Rattus norvegicus: one gene and its partner. The protein of the gene in region 2 purifies or fractionates together with the protein of the main gene of each other region. This does not show direct contact. Links are inferred from orthologs where the notes say so. Each region holds a gene or a part of one and is shown on either strand. Other genes may lie near its edges.

Region 1 (4,547 bases), on a different chromosome or scaffold from region 2:
TTGTGAACCATTACGTGGTTGCTGGGATTTGAACTCAGAACCTCTGGAAGAGCAGTCAGTGCTCTTAACCACTGAGCCATCTCTCCAATCCCCCTCTCCCTGGTTTGATCTTAAGACCACGTGTTCTGTCTGGAATACCTGGAGAGTGAGAGTAGGCTAGGGTCAGGATTACTCTAGCCCAGAGTCTAAATGGTAGCCATTTGCTCAGAGAAGCCAGGCCTTCTGTATTAGGGTTTCTATTGCTGTGATGAATCACCATCACCAAAAACAGCTTGAGGAGGAAAAGATTTATTTGGCTTCTACTTCCACATGTTAGTCCATCTTTGAAGGAAGTAAGAACAGAAATTCAAACAGGGCAGGAACCGGGAGGAAGTAGCTGATGGAGAGTCCATGGAGGGGGCTGCTTACTGGCTTGTTCCCCTCAGTCTGCTTCCTTACAGAACTCAAGACCACCCCCCACGGATAGCCCCTCCCATTATGGGCTGGACCTCCCTCCGTCAATCACTAATTAGGAAAAGGCCCTCCAAGTTTGCCTATAGCTGGATCTTCGGGAGGCATTTTCTCAATTGTGGCACCTCCTCTCTGATGATTCTAGCTTATGTCAAGTTGACATATAATTAATCAGCCCAGTTTCTAACATGGAGGTGGTTCCGACCAGCCCTCAGAGACCTCAGTCTGACAGAGGGGATGAGTCCTGTTCTTTGGGACTGTTCATCTGAGGTTCAACCCTCCAGAATCCCTATTCCAGGGTGTGGGACAGCCAGGCTCTCTGGCAAAGTTTATGTTACTAATCTTCTAACAGTATAGCACTCTCAGGTTTACAAAGTAATAAATAAATGTACGCGTGGGAGCGGTGGGGCATGTTCAGGTGACACAAGCCCGCAACCTCAGTGCTTGGAGGTAAAGGCAGGCAGACCAGGAGTACAAGTTTCTCCTTTGCCTTGGATACACCGGGCCTGTCTTAACAAAACAAGCCATTACCTCTGCCACCAATAGCAACGACAAAACAGAAAAACTAAGGATGTCCAGACAGTAATGGAAGAGCATTAACTTCAAAGCACAAACGGTTTGTAAAGCTGTTCTATACAAACTACAATTTTTGTGCTCTTGAAAGTCTAGTGTAGTAGGATGTAGTAGACTGTCCCTTCGGTGAGTGCTTTCTTTCTGAGTCTCAACTGTGGCTTTAGGAGGAGAAGGCTGAAGGTACCTGCCTACTTGATCAAAACTTCCAGCCGTATTAAGATGTGAGCTCAGAGCTTTCTAGAAAGCTCCCAGGTATCTGGTGACCATAGCAACTCAAGCCAAACTCTGCGGTCGCGAGCCCCGCCCACTGCTTTGGGGCCGCGCCTGTTGATTTGCTGCTCGGGTTAGCCAATGAACGGCGAAGCGGGTTGTGTTCCGGGAGTTTAATGGGCACCGATGGTTGGGGAGGCGGGAAGAGATCTGGGAAGGGTGGGCCCTCACGGCTTGCCCGTGCGTGTTTCCGGCTCCGCTGCGGAAGGCTAGCGAGGGGAACCGTTGGGCCCGAGCGAACCGTACCGAGCGCGGGCATCGCAGAGCGCGAGTGCGGAGCTCGGAGCGCAGCACGATGGGAGGGGAGCAGGAGGAGGAGCGCTTCGACGGCATGCTGCTGGCCATGGCGCAGCAGCACGAGGGCGGCGTGCAGGAGGTAAACGACGTGGCCCGTGCCGCAGCCCTTCTCTGTGGACGGCCGAGACCTCCCCCACCCGGGCCGCGCGGGTCCCCGGGTCCCCGGGTCCCCGGGTCTCCGCGCCACAGCTTCCGGTCTGCCCACCCCGCGGGTGAAGTCTGGCTCCAACGCCGTCAGCGCCCAACACCTAGCCCCCAAAAGCAATATTCGTTGTCCCAGAGTGACCCCAGAGCTTCCGCACCCACTCTGCGCTCCACGGGTGTTTTTCCTTTCATTTTAATGGTTACTCTCCAGAGCATCCCTAATGGTTACTCCTTAGAGCATCCCTGGATCGACTCTAATGCACGTGATCTGCATCTTATCCAGAGCAGAGCCTGTCTATCAATACTGTGTAGGGTAGTGAGAGCCAGGGTGAGGTTAGCACGTGGTCTCTTTATACTTGAAACTATGCTGAGTGAGGAAGTGAACCGGAGACCTGTAGGTTAAGCTTCCTCCTGGACTAGCGTCAGTTGCCTAGTTTGCGAGGTGAAATTTAGGAATATCAGTTCATGGTTTTTTTCTTTTTCTTTTTATCTTGAGTCAGGGTTTTGCTCTGTATCCCTGAACTTGCTGTGTAGATCGAGTGACTTCCAATTCCTTCTGCCTCTGTGCGGGAACTTGGATGTGGGCCACCCTGCCTGGCCCCCTAGTTTTGTTTAAGTGTTTGACATTTTCGTGTACCAGACACATAGTAAGACTGGATCCTGGGGATGCAGACACGGACAGAGACCAGACTTCGCCTTTGGGGAGTTCCTTGAAGATTTCTTGCTTTAAAAAATTATTTGGGGGGTTGGGGATTTAGCTCAGTGGTAGAGCGCTTGCCTAGGAAGCGCAAGGCCCTGGGTTCGATCCCCAGCTCCGAAAAAAAGAACCAAAAAAAAAAAAATTATTTGGAGCAGGGTGTGTCTTAAATCCCAGCATTCAGGAGGCAGAGGCAGGTAGAGCTTCGAATTTGAGGCCAACCTAGTCTACAGAATGAGTTCTAGGACAGCCTGGGCTACACAGAGAAATCTTGACAAAAACAAAACGAAAGAAATGTATTGTGTCAGAACAGTTTCATGGGGGCAGTTCTCCCTTGCCACCGGTGTGTGGGTTTTTAGTGTTGAATTGCTAGGATTTGAGGCAGTCACTTTTTCCCAGTGATTCATCTTGCAGATCACAGTGAGCATTTCAAAAGTTTAATTCAGTGCTGGATATGATGGTGCAGGACTGTAATCCTGACACTGGAGAGGAAGAGGCAGGAATCAGGGATCTGTAGTAAGACCCCCAGATATAATAACCCTCAAATAACCCACAGGAGATGTTCAACAACCAGACCTCGTTCACACAGTGGGTATGTAGTTGATGAGCCACAAAGATGAGCTGGCATGGGTGCCGTTAATTTATTTTTTTTCAAACCAATACTGGGAGAGGTGGAAAAGCCTATTGTTGTCTTCAGAGATATTCCATTCTGTAAGTACTTGAGAGTCAGAGTGACAGGTTTACTGAAAACCAGACCCCAAGTCCCTGAGGAGACAGTCCTGCGGTCTGTCACTGGGGATGGAGTCTCCTTTAGTTTTCCATTCTGTCGTAGAGTGACCGTTGCTGTGATAAAACTTGAAGAGCAGCTTGGGGAGGAAAGGCTTTACTTCACTCACGGGTCTGTATCACCATCATCATCAAAAGCAGCTGGCCAGAATTGGAGGGAGGAGCTGATGCAGAGGTCATGGAGGAGTATTTCTTACTGGCTTGCTACTCCTGGCTTGCTCAACTCTTTTTTTATAGAACCCAGGACACAGGGGATGACCCCATCCCCAATATGCTAGGCTCTCCCATTAATCACTCCTTAAGAAAATGCCCTAGGGCTGGAGAGATGGCTCAGAGGTTAAGAGCACTGGCTGCTGCTCTTCCAGAGGTCCTGAGTTCAATTCCCAGCAACCACATGATGACTCATAACCATCTGTAATGGGATCCGATGCCCTCTTCTGGTGTGTCTGAAGACAGCTACAGTGTACTCATTAAATAAATCTTTAAAAAAAAAAAAAAAAGGAAAATGCCCTAAAGGCTTGCCTACAGCCTGATTTTTCTATGGAGGCGTTTTCTCGATTGAGGTTCCCTCCTCTCTAATGACTTTAGCTTCTGTCAAGTTGACATAAAACTGGTCACTACACATTCTAAGTCTTTCTGTAGGTGCCTGTGTTGACCAAGGACTTCTAAATCTCTTTTAAGTGGGAGAGTGTGTCTAATCTGTAAGTGTGAACCTTCTTGTCTCTGTGTCCCTAAACTGATACAACACAAAAGTAGTTGGGAGTGAGTTCACTTTGTTTCAGAGAATGTAGTGTCTAGAAGTAGGGATCGTACCCATTAGGGTAAGTTCCGGCTTCAGACTTAGAACTATTCACTGGGGTGAATGTTGTGCTAACTGGGGCAGTGCCAGCAGCTTGTGTTTTCCCCAGGAGTTTACTAAGCTTGGGCTGTCCTAACACTTGACAAGCACTCAGTGCTCCCTGCTACCTGTGGCCTGACATGACCATCTGCCTTAAGCTTTTGCTTCTTATCCTTCCCACTGTGATGGGCCAAAATAAACCCTTTCCCCCTTAAGTTGCTTTTCCCAGGTCTTCTGTTTTTGTCGCTGTTGTTTGTTTGTTTTTTATTTTTTCTTGCTTGCTTATTTTTTTAATCACAGCCTAGGGATAAGGAAAGCAGCATTTCTGTGGGGAACTGAGACAGGTCCCACTACATAGCTAAGGCTGACTGTAAACCCATGATCCTCCTGCCTCAGCATTGGGATTATAGGCCCGTGCCACCATGCGCAGATGTGGAGCTGTCATTCTCATTGGGAAAATTTAGTTGGGTGTGGTAATGCACACTCTGAATG
Region 2 (3,807 bases):
AAGACCAGTCAAGAGCCTCCAGTGCACATGCATAAATACTCAGGCACTCTGGAGGGATCCCTGCCATGCGGTGGGAGAGGCCCAGCTTAAGGCATGAGGAGTGAAGCGGCAGTCTGCTTAGACAGTAGAAAAGCTCAGAGGCCCCGCCTACTCTGCCTGAGTAATGCGGCATAGGACGAAGAGCCAATACCAGCTACGAGAACCGAGGCTTTCATTCATAAATCATCACCATGGGGGAACACTAAGTTCTGACATACAGTTTAGGGGGTTGATTCAATGTTCAGAAAGACACATTATAATTTTGAGAACTAGAAACTAAAAGGGGGAAAAGAGACCAAATTATTGTGTAACTCTAGGTAAAAAATTTCTGCTGTCTATGGGATAAGGATGGGGCTTAACTCTCCATCTACAAAGGAAAAGGTAAAAGTGCATATGAAAAGCATATTCAGTTGACGAGCAGCAAGCAGGGCTGATATATGCACAGCCCAGCCCCTGAAGGCCCCTGGGTCACCATGCCCTGACCTACTCTGTGCAGGACCCGCAGTGGGAGGACGACAGAGACTCACCCGCCGTGCTCACAGTATGAGTGGACACACTCCCGGCTGGTCTTGTCCCACAGCTTGACAGTTTTGTCATCGCTGGCAGACACGATGAGCCGCCCGTCAGGAGAGAACCTAGGTTGACAGGACCATAAGTCACACTACTTTGAGTACCACACTGTGTTCTCTACAGCCACTTCCTCTAGCGTGCTATTGCCTGATCCAGGAACTCTTTGGCATTAAGGCTTTTTTTTTTTTTCTTTTCTTTTCTTTTTTTTGGAGCTGAGGACCGAACCCAGGCCTTGCGCTTGCTAGGCAAGCACTCTACCACTGAGCTAAATCCCCAACCCCGCATTAAGGCTTTTTAATGTTGTTGTTTTGACATAGGGTCTTACTGTGTAGCACTGGCTGGCCTGCAACGCTATATGTAGATCAAACTGTGGCAATCCTCCTGCCTCAGCCTCCCAAGTCCTCCCAAGTGTGTACCAACAACTGCCTGACCCGAGAACCACCTACGGGCATGTGCTGCTCTGATACCTTGAGTGATCCTGGACAAGCGGCCTCCTCTGTGAGACAGACCCTCTGCAGTGCCCACCCGTAGCAAGCACACGGTAGCACAGAACACCCAGGAGACAGATGGCCTATAGCAGTACACAGATGGTGCTGCTTGATACATGGCGGTGGTCAGGAACACCACATGAGGACATCAGCAAAATATGAAGGCCAACAAAACACATGGAGGTCCTGAGACTTACTATTCAAGGTCTACCGAGGACTTAACACCCAACTTTGCTGGCTTGCCCTCCCTATCAGTACCCGCTCTCTGAGCAGGGCCCTCCCAGAATAAGAATGGTTCTGTCATAGAGAATAAGAAACTTCCAGAGGAAGATAGTTCAGTGGTCCCCAACCTCCGACTTTCATGGTTTCTTAGTGCTCCTTGGACACCCTCCTCTGGAGCAGAGCTGTGACATGAGAAAGCTCTGTTAAAGAAGCTGACAAAACCACAGGCAGGAATATGTTTTCTGTAATTCTTCAAGCCACTGGCATCCCACCTCCCACACCAGAGCCAGGGCCTCCACACCAAGTCCTTACCCAGCAGCTCTGAAGTATAACTAAGCTGAGTAGATACTGCTCTGTTGGAAGCCTGTTTCTCTCTCTGCAAACTAAAGAAGATGCTACCTAGCTGGCAGAACTGTCCTCAGGAACAAGGAGAAAGCACACCGTGGTACTGAGAGGACTTGTGGCTGCTGCGGCTGCTATCTGCTAGCCTGGGAGTGCTCCACACACCTGACAGAGGGTCATGGCTGACTAATATGTGTCACATAGAACTCAATGATGCTCCCCCAACAAGTTCAATACAGCAACCACTATTGACATATTACAGATTAGAAAAATAAGACTCGGGGTTGGGGATTTAGCTCAGTGGTAGAGTGCTTGCCTAGGAAGCACAAGGCCCTGGGTTCGGTCCCCAGCTCCGGGAAAAAAAAAAAAAAAAAAAGTTACCCGTACAGAAAAATAAGACTCAGGGGTACACTAAAGGGAGGTAAACAACCTGCCCAAGGTTACAAGCTGACACCTGCAAGCCCTTCTGACCCCAAACCCTTCACGCTCCCAGGTTCTCCAGACAGGAAATTCTCACTTGGCACAGCGGACCCAGTTGATGTGCTGGGTCAGGGAAAACAGGAATCTCTGGCGATGAGTTGACCACACCTTGACTGTCTTGTCATCAGAGGCTGTCACGAGCAACTGGCCATCACTGCAGAAGTGGACGCTCCTCACTGTGGCCGTGTGTGCACGGAACACAGTTGACTCACCTTTGCTGAGGATAGACATCCAGACTCAGGAGACTCATAACAGACATGAGAACCTACAAGGACACCAAAGTTCTCGCCAACTCCCTAGGCCTAAGTGTCCCGGTCTCACCCCAAAGAGGCCAGAGCTGCCCAACAGAAACAAAGTGCTTTTCCCACCACCACCACCCTCGTGTGAGCTGCAACACCAGGTAGCAGCCATTCCAACATAAGGAGACAGCCCAAGCGAAGCTTCAGCCTCTGATGGCACCTCAGAGGTCACATGTCCCACTGTGACAAGCTCAAAGCCAGGATAAGGACCCAAGGAGGGACAGCTCTTATACCAAGTCCCTCGATGCTGTCAGTCCCTTGAAGTCCAGAACTCACACATTGGGTACCCAGATTCGAACGGTCTTGTCTCGGGAGCCTGAGGCAAGCAGGTGTCCCGATGGGGAGAAATTCACACAAGTCACGGCGTCCTTGTGGCCCGTGAAGCGGTAGGCACGTGACTGGGGCTTCATGTGCCAGATCATGAGGGTTGAGTCCATGGAGCCACTGGCTGAAGAGAGTAGTAACAAGATGATTCTCAGATCTCAAGAATCACAAGCACCCACCTCAATGCCAGGGATGCAGGGGCACAACAGCCCATCTCCACCATCACAGGCATTCCCCAAAGGACGATGACAGGATCCCATTGGGACGGCCTGCATCTGTGATTACTGACCTATAGTTTGGACAGTTATGGCCTGGCAGTTCTCCTTGTAGCAGGCCAACACAGGACATTTGCATGACATTTCTGTACTACAACCCAAGGCCCTTGGTCTCACCATTGATACTCTAAGAGCCTGTCAGACACAAAAGGCCCTGTACTATTGGAAGGACCTAACTTGGGGCTGGAGAGATGGCTCAGTGGTTAAGAGCACTGGCTGCTCTTCCAGAGGACCTGAGTTCAATTCCCAGCAACCACATGGTGGCTCACAACCATCTAGAACTGTAGTCACATGGGATCCAATGCCCTCTTTTGGTGTACAAATGTACATGCAGGCAAAACACCCAGATACATAAATAAATAAATCTTTAAAAGAAAGAAAAAAATAAAAGAAAGGACCCAACTTGGTGCTGGAGAGATAGTTCAGTGATTGAGAGCACTTGCTACCCTTCTAGAGGATCTAGGTTCAATTCCCACATGGTTCTGTACTCCAGTTCCAGGAGATCTGATATTATCTCTGGGGCCACCTGGCACACATATACTACTCAGACGTACATGCAGGTAAAACATTCATGTGCATAAAATAAGGCAATCTAAGTTAAAAATAAAAGAAAGGCAGGTGGTGGTGGAGGAGGCAATGTACACCTTTATTCCCAGCACTTGAGAGCAAAGGCAAGAAGCCTCAAGTTCAAGGCTAGCCTGGTCTATGGTGTGAGTTCCAGAACATCCAAGGCTACACAGAGAAATCTTCTCCCAAAGAATACATAGA

What was found.
Region 1: the proteins of Poc1a (region 2) and Nudc purify together in Homo sapiens (co-immunoprecipitation; 3 studies listed by BioGRID and IntAct, with this or other methods). This does not show direct contact. The link is inferred for Rattus norvegicus from reciprocal best matches to the Homo sapiens genes POC1A and NUDC.

What each region holds. Positions count from the first base shown.
Region 1 is NC_086023.1:151,052,224-151,056,770, reverse strand, and holds the start of Nudc (nuclear migration protein nudC), read left to right. Parts: upstream 1-1,510; 5' UTR 1,511-1,588; coding exon 1,589-1,669; intron 1,670-4,547. UniProt on the Homo sapiens protein: Plays a role in neurogenesis and neuronal migration. Necessary for correct formation of mitotic spindles and chromosome separation during mitosis. Necessary for cytokinesis and cell proliferation.
Region 2 is NC_086026.1:115,804,360-115,808,166, reverse strand, and holds part of Poc1a (POC1 centriolar protein homolog A), read right to left. Parts: intron 2,889-3,807; coding exon 2,717-2,888; intron 2,407-2,716; exon of another isoform or gene 2,373-2,406; coding exon of another isoform or gene 2,359-2,372; coding exon 2,179-2,358; intron 675-2,178; coding exon 567-674; intron 1-566.